Drosophila melanogaster: one gene and its partners. The protein of the gene in region 3 purifies or fractionates together with the protein of the main gene of each other region. This does not show direct contact. Each region holds a gene or a part of one and is shown on either strand. Other genes may lie near its edges.

The links.
Region 1: the proteins of Nrx-IV (region 3) and wrapper purify together in Drosophila melanogaster (affinity purification with western blotting; 2 studies listed by BioGRID). This does not show direct contact.
Region 2: the proteins of Nrx-IV (region 3) and Cont purify together in Drosophila melanogaster (affinity purification with western blotting; 4 studies listed by BioGRID). This does not show direct contact.

The regions. Positions count from the first base shown.
Region 1 is NT_033778.4:22,377,580-22,381,414, forward strand, and holds the start of wrapper (wrapper), read left to right. Parts: upstream 1-2,057; 5' UTR 2,058-2,222; coding exon 2,223-2,400; intron 2,401-3,272; coding exon 3,273-3,752; intron 3,753-3,820; coding exon 3,821-3,835. Other genes in the region: Rtf1, read left to right, coding at 1-13, 71-174.
Region 2 is NT_033777.3:4,379,245-4,383,079, forward strand, and holds the start of Cont (contactin), read left to right. Parts: upstream 1-2,061; 5' UTR 2,062-2,285; intron 2,286-2,634; 5' UTR 2,635-2,723; coding exon 2,724-3,573; intron 3,574-3,625; coding exon 3,626-3,835. Other genes in the region: Sfxn1-3 (sideroflexin 1/3), read left to right, coding at 212-374, 431-580, 684-801, 865-1,026, 1,260-1,387, 1,459-1,703. UniProt on the Drosophila melanogaster protein: Required for organization of septate junctions and paracellular barrier functions.
Region 3 is NT_037436.4:12,145,010-12,148,609, forward strand, and holds the start of Nrx-IV (neurexin IV), read left to right. Parts: upstream 1-1,509; 5' UTR 1,510-1,845; coding exon 1,846-1,951; intron 1,952-3,600. Other genes in the region: eIF3l (eukaryotic translation initiation factor 3 subunit l), read right to left, coding at 1-241, 947-979. UniProt on the Drosophila melanogaster protein: Seems to play a role in the formation and function of septate junctions.

The DNA of each region.
Region 1 (3,835 bases), on a different chromosome or scaffold from region 3:
GTTCCGCTACCAGGTATGTAACTAACGTATTCTGCAGTTGAGCAATGGGCATAACCATTTTCTTTTTTAGTCAATACGAATTCAGTGCCCAAGCCGGCTAGCAAACCAGCTGAAACAGTCTCCAAACGTTCGCTGAATCTAGAGGATTACAAAAAAAAGCGCGGTCTTATCTAGAAAAGGATGCCGCTGGTCATACATATACTGACAAAGCGTCGCATGTTTACGTCCTAGTTTAGTGTAGTGCCCAAATGAAATGAATACAGCGATCGTTTGCTTCAACGACTCAACCAACTTAAAGAGCAACAAAAAAAACGACGGGCAATCAGCTCGGCTTATAGTTACAGTTCATATATATATATAATAAGGTTGACACAGAAAGTTTTAGATAGGTCGGGCGAATTGAATATCCCAATCGAGGATACTTTCTCTGTTTGTGTTTGTTTTGTTTCACTATTATGATATAATTTTTAGAAAAATTATGCAAGCAACACTTAAGAATCAACAGTAATTTCGAACATTTGGAATGCCTATGCAGATAACGAACTTATTTAAGTATATATTGTGAAATTTTTAAAGTTTTAAGCTAAAAATGTTATAACGAAAAGAGTAAAACCCCATCCAGCCTAATCATTTCCAACGATTTGTTCCATAAATTAACAACTAACATAATTAATACGGAATTAGTTTTCAGCGAAGACTTAATCGTTTACTCAGGCAAATGGCAAATTTGAAGGATATTCCATGGACAAATATGAAGAGGATTATTGAAAGGGTTATATAAGACTCATTCAAGCGAGTATGTATCCGTTGGTTGTAACCGTTCAATGCTGTATTAGATTAAGGCAAAATTCATCAGTTGTAGCAACAGCTTTCATATACTTAAATATACATATATAAATATTATTTATAATAAAGAAAAAGACTTAAATAATGTTATTGATCTAGTGTTGGGATACTGTATAGGATTTGTTATCTTGTATACTTGGCGCCTATTCCCACATAAGCACCAATGAAAAGTAAACTTATGGTCACCATTCTGGACTGTTGGACAGTTGGCTCCTCTTAATTGGTTTGCAGTCTGTTTGCGCAGCTGGCTGACTCCTTTCATGTTCTCACCAAATTAATTCAATTAATTCGATGAAATTGTCTTTTAATTGAACACAATCGCGTTTCGTCAGAGGGAAAAACGTTTTTCAAGATCTGCAAATATATAAAGAGACTTTAACGGTCAATATTTGAAAGGCATATTCGAGCTAACTCCGCTGCAATCGATCGAAATACATGCTAAATAGGATGCTAATTTGAAATAAACTTGAATTGATCGCTATATAATGCACTTCCGCTCGAATATTTTCCAAGTTGTTTCGTTCTGTCTTTTTGGGAACCTCGCCGTGCCGAACATATTGTTTCCAAATGGTGAATGTGACTGATCCGATCACAATGATGACGACTGGGATGGGGGCACCATTGTGGCACAATGACATTTTATCTCGGAATATGCAACAGCAGCACGTTCTCTGAAGCGGAGAGTGTAATAGATCAGCGACGGAATCTCGATTCTGAATCCGAAAACTACCGATGCGTGGCCCATGCAAATGTTCTTGCAGCGACATCGGTGTGGGTGCATCCCAAAGCCACTTACACACACACATCTCCCATCAATGCACAGCGAAAAATGGTATCAATACGTAAAATCTCCGATATAGCCAGCTACTCAACCCGCCTATAGAGCTTGCTATCATCCATTAACAAGTTAGTTCGAGCAGGGAAAGTATGTGTTATAGAAATTCAACTTGAACCATATCTTACAGCATCGTATAGTGATTTCTAGTAGTGCTCCCGCTTTTTCTTTCTGTGTACCCATGTGGGAGAATCTCCTTGGCGGCGACTAATCAACCGGCATCGGCATGCCTTATACACAAGTGCTGGGTGCTGTCCAGCGTCAGCGGCTTCTTCATCGTCGCCCCGGACTCGGGCATCTTCCATTGTCCGCCCCTCGGGGCTCCACTGTACATGTGCGTGTGTGTGTGGTGGTGCAGTGTGTGCGGCTCAGGGGACGCCAACTGTGGCTTCAGCTCAAGCGATCAGTTCAAAGTTGACTTTGTCGCGGACCAGAGCGGACCGTTCTAATTCCGACACGCGACCGTGAATTATAGAATTACCAAATCACAGTGTAATTTAATTTAAAGAAATATAGCTAATATAAACTAAGCGAAAATAAAATGACGCCCCATATGTGCTCAGTGGTGAGGTGTTTGCTTGCGGCCCTAATCCTTGGCCAAGTGCAAGCCGAGCTGGATTTTAACAACGATCTCGAAAACAGTCAAAAGTTCAAGAGCATACCAACCACAGTGAAAACCTATGAGAACGATACAGTGCAGCTTCCGTGCACCTTAAACAGTAAGTGATTAACTAAATGCGGTACTAATCTCAGTGCACATTGTGGGTATTTCTGGCGATTAGCCCCGCTTTTTGGGGCCTTGAGTCGGCCACCAGCAGCAATTGGCCATAACAATGAGATTTAATTCGATTGAAGAAATGAACTCACAATGCCACAAATGGAGGTATTATCCGACAATAATAGAGTTACGGCGGAGAAAGTCCAGAAGCGGATTCTATTAATTGAACGCTTAACACACTTAGCGGCGCATTCAAGTCGCCGTGCAAGACCCTCCCGAGACATATTGTTAAATGGCCAATTAAAGGATTATTGACATAAGCAATTACACTTCCAAAGGGTTACAAGATTACACAAACTTACAAATTAGCGTGTGTGCGGGAAGCCCTACGAACAGAGTCGTCCAAATCCACCCCATGAAGAAATATTTAACTAAGCCTTTCAGTTTGGCATGCCAATATATGTAGGTTATTTACAATAGTTCTGGTATAGAAGTTATTAGTTACATTTTAAAGTAATATAGTATGGTATAAATAATCCGGGATTGATAAAGTATATTTCTGTTTTTAAAACAATAACATTTTGAATAGATCTGCTTAGTGTATAGAAATTTTCGTTAGCTAAAACAACGTATACTTTTTATTGTTCATATATCGATGATCAATGCAAACAATTTGGGCTTCGAGCGGATGCTTTTGTTTATTCTTATTTATCTTGGCAGTGAGATAAGCGCCAGATAACTGTTAAGATTCGAGATACAATTCTGCTGAATTCTGTTTCGTTCTTTTAAATATTTGGTAGATAAAAATGGAATTCGCGAAAACATAAAAATAAAACACATAAGTTCATCAAATTTATTACCTCACATACCCAGCTCCCTTCCGCTACGTCCGTTGGCATCGGGACGATGTGGCTCTGGTGGACTCCAGACACCCGGAGCTCCCGCCGCCGGATCGCATAATGCTCTGGCCGAATGGCAGCCTGCAGGTGGCCAACGTGCAGTCCAGTGACACCGGGGACTACTACTGCGAAATGAACTCGGATTCGGGTCATGTGGTCCAGCAGCACGCCATCGAAGTGCAATTGGCTCCACAGGTGTTGATTGAACCATCGGATCTCACGGAGCAGCGGATAGGTGCAATCTTCGAGGTGGTGTGCGAGGCCCAGGGAGTGCCCCAACCGGTCATCACCTGGCGGTTGAACGGCAATGTCATCCAGCCACAGAGCAACACGGGGAATCGGCAAAGCCTCATCCTGGAGATCAAATCGAGGAACCAGGCGGGCCTCATAGAATGCGTGGCCAGCAATGGAGTGGGTGAGCCAGCGGTGGCCAATGTCTATCTCCATGTGCTATGTGAGTAATTAAGCTTCAAGTCAACTTGAGCAATTAACTTTAACTTACTGACCTTCTCGAATCGACAGTTTCGCCCGAGGTGA
Region 2 (3,835 bases), on a different chromosome or scaffold from region 3:
GCCTACATATATGCGCAAGAAGCGTTGTCGGGAGAAACTTGTTTACCAGCGATAAGGGGACTCAGTTAGGTTCAAAGCATCGGACTGATAAGAGCTGCTTTCATGGGCGGGACGGAAAACATAGTTTACGAAACGTTTAATTCCGCTTTGAGAACGATTTCTTTTCGCAGATACATATTTTACTGATTACGTACGTTCCTTGCAGGCAATCATGAGCCCTCTCCCACGAGTCAACATCGACGAGCCGAAATATGATCAGAACTCCTACTTGGGCAGAGCCAAGCACTTCTTCCTGCTGACCAACCCGCTTAATGTGCTGGCCTCCGCCTCGAAGTTGGAGGAGGCCCGCCAGATTGTGATAAAGTACCGGGCTGGTAAGAAAGAAGAGTAGGTAACCAAATTAGATCACTAATCTTATTCGCACTTCAAGGCAAGGATGTTCCCGAGTGCAAGACCATCGACGACGTGTGGCGCGCTAAGTACCTGTACGATTCGGCGTTCCATCCAGAGACCGGGGAGAAGCAGATAGTCATCGGGCGCATGGCTGCGCAGATGCCCATGAACACAATCATCACCGGCGGTGCGTATTAGCGACTTTTTCGGTGCTCAATTGACGTCAAATAAACTATGTGCTTCCGCACTGCTGATTAATCGACTACAATAATAGCTAAATCACATTCCAGGCATGATGGCCTTCTACAAAAGCACTCCCGCCGTCGTCTTCTGGCAGTGGTTCAATCAGACATTCAACGCCATTGTTAACTACACGAACCGTTCGGGAACCTCGCCCATCAGCCAGCAGTAGGTACCTCCTTCCAGCCGCAGTCCCCGACACTAACTTCACCGATTTCGTCCCCTGTTCAGGCAACTAGTTACCTCGTACTGTTTGGCCACTAGCGGAGCCCTGGTCACGGCCCTTTCCCTGAACCACGCAGTGAAGAACATGAATCCGCTCTTGGGTCGCCTTGTCCCCCTAGTGGCAGTTGGAGCTGCCAACTGCATCAACATCCCCTGCATGCGAATGCAGTAAGTTAAATTTGTATTAAAGAAGCTCTTTCCTCTATACATTTTGTTTTTAGTAAAATTATGAAATAGGCCTGATTCGATTAGAGCAGCTCTGCTACAATTTTAGAGAGATAATTTTACCAGCATTTTATTAATTTATTCATATTTTATTAAAGCTGTTTACCGAATTTACGCTACTTCGGCCGTTCGTAAAACAGTGAATTAATTATGTATATAATATTCCTCTTTTACAGAGAGCTGCGCAACGGAGTGACGCTTTTCGATGAACACAGCAACGAAATGGGCATCTCAAAGAAGGCGGCCGTTGTTGGGATCTCAACCGTAATCCTAAGTCGAATCGCCATGGCCATACCGGGAATGAGTACGTCTCCTGGACATCCTTGCGCACAAAAGTGTAACAACTTACGATACTTACGCTATTCTCAATTTCAGCACTGACACCGGTGTTGATGAATGTCCTCGAAAAGAGGGGATTCCTGGCTAAATACCCGCGATCCAACGCTCCCATCCAAACGCTCTTCTGCGGCTTCGTGCTGATTTTCGCCACGCCCCTTGGCTGCGCCTTCTTCAAGCAGCGAGCGGACATCAAAGTGGATAGCCTGGAGTCGGAGGTCCGCGACAGCATTAGGAAGAAGCGTCCGGAATTGGAAACTGTCTGGTTCAACAAGGGACTGTGAGGCCCTATGCCATTTACGAGCTTAACGGAGACAATACTGCTCGATTGAGCAACTATTTATTTCCCTTCTTGCATTTATTGGCATTTTGCCTGTTGACTTCTGTTCGAAATACTCCTGATATTAGCCTGACCGCATATGCTTACCGTTCACAGCAAGCGACACGTCAGTGAATCAAATTTACAGTGTATATTATAGTGATTGTGTAAAAGTGAAAATGTATGAAACAAAAATATATCTGTTAACTGTTATCTGAACTCAGTTTCAAATGGCCCGCGCACACTATTTATTCGAATGGCGATTACAGCGGGATATCGACTATGCATATCGATGCCTCTATCGCACCATCGATGGCAGCGTAGCCCACAGTCGTGGCTTGCGCATATCTAATTGCTGGTCGACTCAGCTTCTGGACTGTTTTGTTTTTATTTAATTAAACTATAATTTAAAAAGCTGTAAATTGCCTCTGATACTTATTTTGTCCGGATCCGCACAACTCGTGGTTTTTTTTTTTGTCAGCAGGAACACCTCGCAGTGGTAGCGTTTTCAACCGTTCGTGTGCTGCGTCCTGGAGTCGTAATTAAGGTGTGGTTAAGTGTTTGCCTATGCGACCAATTAGTTTTGCCAGCACGGGCTACTTGGATTGAGCCCCCTTCTTTAGTCAGTTAAAACTGTCCTTGTTCAATAGGAAACACAACTAAAGTGTGCTTGAATAATCTAAAAAGTCAGTTGATCGAAGATCAATCGCGGCTTACGACCACGCCTAATCACATATACACACACACATACACATATGTACATTTGTATATACGCGTGCTGACACATCGTATCACAAATTTGAATGACCTGCGATCGACAAATCTGTTTACATTCAATTTGTTTATGCCATAAGAGGGGCAAAATAAACAAGAACATTCTTTCGTTCTGCTTTCAGAAACTATCGAATTCCAGAGCAAAATGTGCCTTTAGTCTGCTGCGAGACATCTAAACCAGAACCCACGCTATTAAAGCTAAGGACCAACTATGCTAGCAAAAATCGGCCTTCTGGCGAGTATTCTTGTGCTCAACTTAGTTGGCCAGATCACGCCCCAATTTTCCGAAAACCTGCCGGATCCGGATCCGCAGTCGGGACAGCAGCCTCAGAACTATCAGCCTAGCTACAACAAGGATTACTCTCCGCGATACAACCCCCTGTATACTGGACAGCAAAGCGCTGACCCCAACCAGTTCGACAATACGCTGGTCGACGGACAGAGCCCTAATACCTACAAGGGGTACTATGATGGCAGGGCAGGAGGTGGGGGCCTTGGCGGCAATGTAGTCGGGCCTGGAAACAACCTCGGCGGACTCGGCCCACAGTACGACCCCTTTAATCGGAACAGCATAGGTTCAGCAGGTGTCAGCTACCGGGACGCCTATACGGATGAAGATAACTTTTGCCCGGAGCACTGGGTCTCGTTCAGACAGACGTGCTATCGCTTCATCCGCTCGCCCAAGCGCAACTGGGCAGAGGCTAAAAAGATCTGCAAGGCACACAATGCCGACCTGATAAACGTGGATAATGTAGAGAAGCACTCGTTTATACTCAAGAATCTCATCCTGCAGAATCAACGGCAGAACCGATTCTTCATCTCCGCCCGGCAAACGGGCCCGTTGAATTGGGTCAACGATGACAACACCCAGTTAGTCCAGATCGAAGACTCCTTTTCCATGGACGAGCAAGTGCCCTTGGAAAACGAAGATCTGCACGACAATAGATTCCTTGTGCAAAACGACCTCAACAACCAAAATATCAATAATCCAAATCAGTTTTACAACTCTCTTCCGGGGACTGTTAATCAGCGCAATCAAAATAACCTTCGCGGCTTTATAGGCAAGTTTCACTATTTAAAATTGTCGATTTGCTAAACATCGTTTCCTTACAGGTCCCAACCAGCCGTATGGAGACAACCGATATGTGCGCGATCGCGTTGTGTACGCCTTCTCAAAGAAAAGGGATCGGTGGATGTTCATGCCAGCCTATGAAATTGAACTAAATCTCTTTATATGCGAGTCAAAAGTACTATACAGCTCAGACAATGTCAACATAAAGTTAGACGACAAGCGTCCCTACCATTATGGACTCGATATAAACG
Region 3 (3,600 bases):
CAATAGCAGCCACCTCCTGCTCCTCGGGCCAAGCAGTCTTGTCGAAGTGGTGGTCGCTGATCTGCGGGAACGTGTTCTCGTACATGTTTTGGATGTCGTACAAGTTGCCCTCTTTGATCGCCTGGCAGAAGTTTATGAGGAAGTACTTGACGTTGTCCGGCATCCGGGCGGCGTAGTAGTTCCTCTCGTACTCCATGTCCAGTTGCGGGTCTCCGGTATGAGCGTAGTCATCGTAGTAATCCTGTAATATGTAAAAAACCCAATGACTTTTTGGAAGCAGAATTGCAGGAAATACTGATCTACGACTCTCTGCATAAATGAGCTATTAAATAGAGTTAATCGCTTAAAGTGGATCGATTTTATAAATTAACAGCTTGCCTAGACTATTGAAGACTTTCGACTTTGTAAATAGGAATTCGAGAGACTATGCTACAACTGTTCCGAGTTTAATCCCGACCATTTAGCTAAGCGAGCTGTAGCTAACAAAACGAGCGCATTCCTACGATTACGAAGTGGATGAACCTTAGAGGGGTACTTCTTTCCACGGCATCTCTAAGGAGTAAGCTAGAATATATTCATGTGTTCTTTAAAGGTGTGTACACACCATCTAAAATTGCACGCAAATCAAAAATGTAGAAGGTATTATGACTTATTAATAATGTACACCGATACCAATAATATACCACATGGCGCCGGGGTGTCCCCCGGACTACAGGATTCGTTTCCAAATAGCAAAGGAACGTGTCAAAGGAGTGGCCCACGGATTATCAGTGCTTAATGACCTATGATGATCTAAACACCAACTATGCCAAGTCGTAAAACGGCTTTAAAATCATCCCAGTGAGTTTTGTATTTGTGCGAGGGCAACAAAAGATGGGTTATGTTGTCGGCGGAGTCCGGGGATTGGTTTCCCGAGAATGAATCATTCCTCGCTGGCTGCACTCACCGAGTTGGTTGCGTATTCGTCTCCACCGTACATTGTCGCTGTTTTATCCTCTCCGGGTTACACACAAAACGAAAAAACCGATCAAATGCTTAGGAAATTGACAACACGCCAACAAATTTTTGGCGAAAAGAGGGATAAACAGTGTGACCAACTATCGATAATGATACTACTACGACTATCGATGTTTTACGCCCCTATCGATTTGGTATTCGAAATAATTTTTTGTAAAATATGTATTTTATTTCAAATTTCTGGATAGATAAGAAAACTAGATTTTTAAAAAATATTTTAGAGGGGATTTGACTTATTTGCCATTACATTTGTATACTTTGCTTATATCATTCATTTTGCAATGATATTACATGGCTTTAAAACTATGCAAAAAAATTTCTATCACGAATTAATATAAATGTTAACGGAAAGCTATTATTAGTGACCAAATTTAATTTCATAGTAGCAGTTGAAATAATTTGTAAATACTTCATATACTTAATCACACGATAGCTTAGCTCACGCGACAAGCACCCAGTTGGTGACTCCCTCGGTATCTTGCCACGTTTGAGTCACGGTCACACTGGCAGCGAGACATTCTGTTCGTGTGTCATCCGCGTTGCGATAATTATTTTCTTAATTCAAACGAAACTCTTCCGAAGTGGGCGTGATCTGCTGGAGCCGTACACCCAGTGGATAAATTACATAAATTCAAAATCGATTTAAAGCGGAGCGTAAAGTGCAGTCCAACGTTTTTAACACCGCGGACGCGTTGCCACAAATCATCAGCTTTTCACGGTGGTTTTTCCAGCGGAAAAGTGCATTTTGGTGTTAAACTTCTTCGGAAATCGAATATAGATGTGTTTATAAATCTACCAAGCGATAGTGTTTAATTAACAGCCTCCAAGATGAGGCCGCCCAGGAGCAATACGAAAGCAGCATTTTCCTCGCTTCAGTTTGGATTGTTATGCCTCCTATTGCTGGTCAATAATGGCATTAAATCGGTGCAAGCAGGTAAAAACCAGTGATACCCATTGACTAACCCAGGAATTCAGATCCTTTCGGCTCGATTTTCCCAGCAATATGTGACATAAAACGTCGATTGTTTGTAAGCCAACTTTTTGGGCGTGTTCCCCAAAGCTGAAGACTCGCTCTTCCATTTTCCTTTGGCCCGTTGTTCGCTTTTTAACTCGCTCTTAGCGATCGCGAGAGTTTTGGTGAGAACGGGAGAGCGATCAAACGGTTGCTTACGAATAGCGGTGGCAAAACAAAAATGCCGCTTAACAACGCCCGTTTTTACTCGTTCGTTTTGAGCAAAGGCATTGGGGTTTTAGATTCTTGATTTCCGGACTTTTATGAAGCTTCCCGGGGGAGCAATTCGAAAATTTTGCCGGTTGCATCCCCAGTTGTGCTTGCCTTCTTTTCCGGCTTTTCAAATGCGCATGCGGCAAATAAGAAGCATCTGCTGATTGATGATGCTGTGTGAAACAGGTGATTTTATCATTATCCTTCCATATGTCAACAGACTTAAGCGCTTTTCCCCACAAATTTCCACATATCTTGAAAAATAAACAATCTATCGATGATATGCAAACATTTTTATGACTAAAAATAAACAATGCCGCGCAATTAATTTGCCTTGAAGCGTCGAAAGCAGACAGCCGACATATATCCTCCCAGACTTTGGTCGATTTCCATAATTTATTTCGGTTCTTATTGCCTCGAAAATAGCATCATTCGCACTTCGAGTTTCCCCCAGATGGACGGAAATGGCCTTTCAGACCTCGTCATATTTGTTTCATTTAGAACATTAGCCAAATTCTATGTATTTCGTTTTCTTTCTAATCACCATTGGGCAATTATGTAGCAAAAAGTAGTTCAAACTGGCTATATATGTATGTACATATGTTCCTGTGTTATTTACCAGAAGATTGTCATGCGTGTTTCCTCGGTTTCCTTTCGAGCTTATCAGGTTGATTTGTACCACTCCACCCAAGACTCAAAGTCAGCTTAAAGTGCCCACGAACTCCGAATGACCTCGCAAGGGTTGTTTTCCCCCACTCCGCTAAGAAAATGCCAGTGTGCTGTTTGCCTAGGAGGAGCTACTGCTGCACCCATTGTAAACAATTTCTTGGGGGTTGCGGCAGACAGGGGCAACTGTCTGGATTTCCGACACGACCTGGCCCCCACATCCGCATGCTTTTGTCACGGATCCTAGGGGCTAAAAGACTCTCGTCAACGGAAAATATTATGGTGCAAATATGAGACAAGAATCTGCCTCTTAAAACAGTGGAACCATCTTAATAAGAAATATTTCTAACTAGTACCTAGTACTCTTAATACATGTTTAAGAGTAAAATATTCTAAATAAAGCAACTAATTACATCAGTTTATGTCCAATTTAATGCTGATTGTCTTAATTCATAGGAATTTTCCTTGGACTTCATGTGAAATTTAAAGATTCAATTGTATAGATTCTATTTATATGATATTTATTCATTACAAGCAAATTCAATATATCTTGTACGACTTAAATTACCCGGAAAACAGAGAACTAAGAACTCTTAAAATAAATAGCAAATATTTACTCCTCAGTCAATTTGTTTACTTCTTGCTGCCTTATAGATGTGGCTTTCTTTATGGGCCCATAAAAAGGAGGCCAA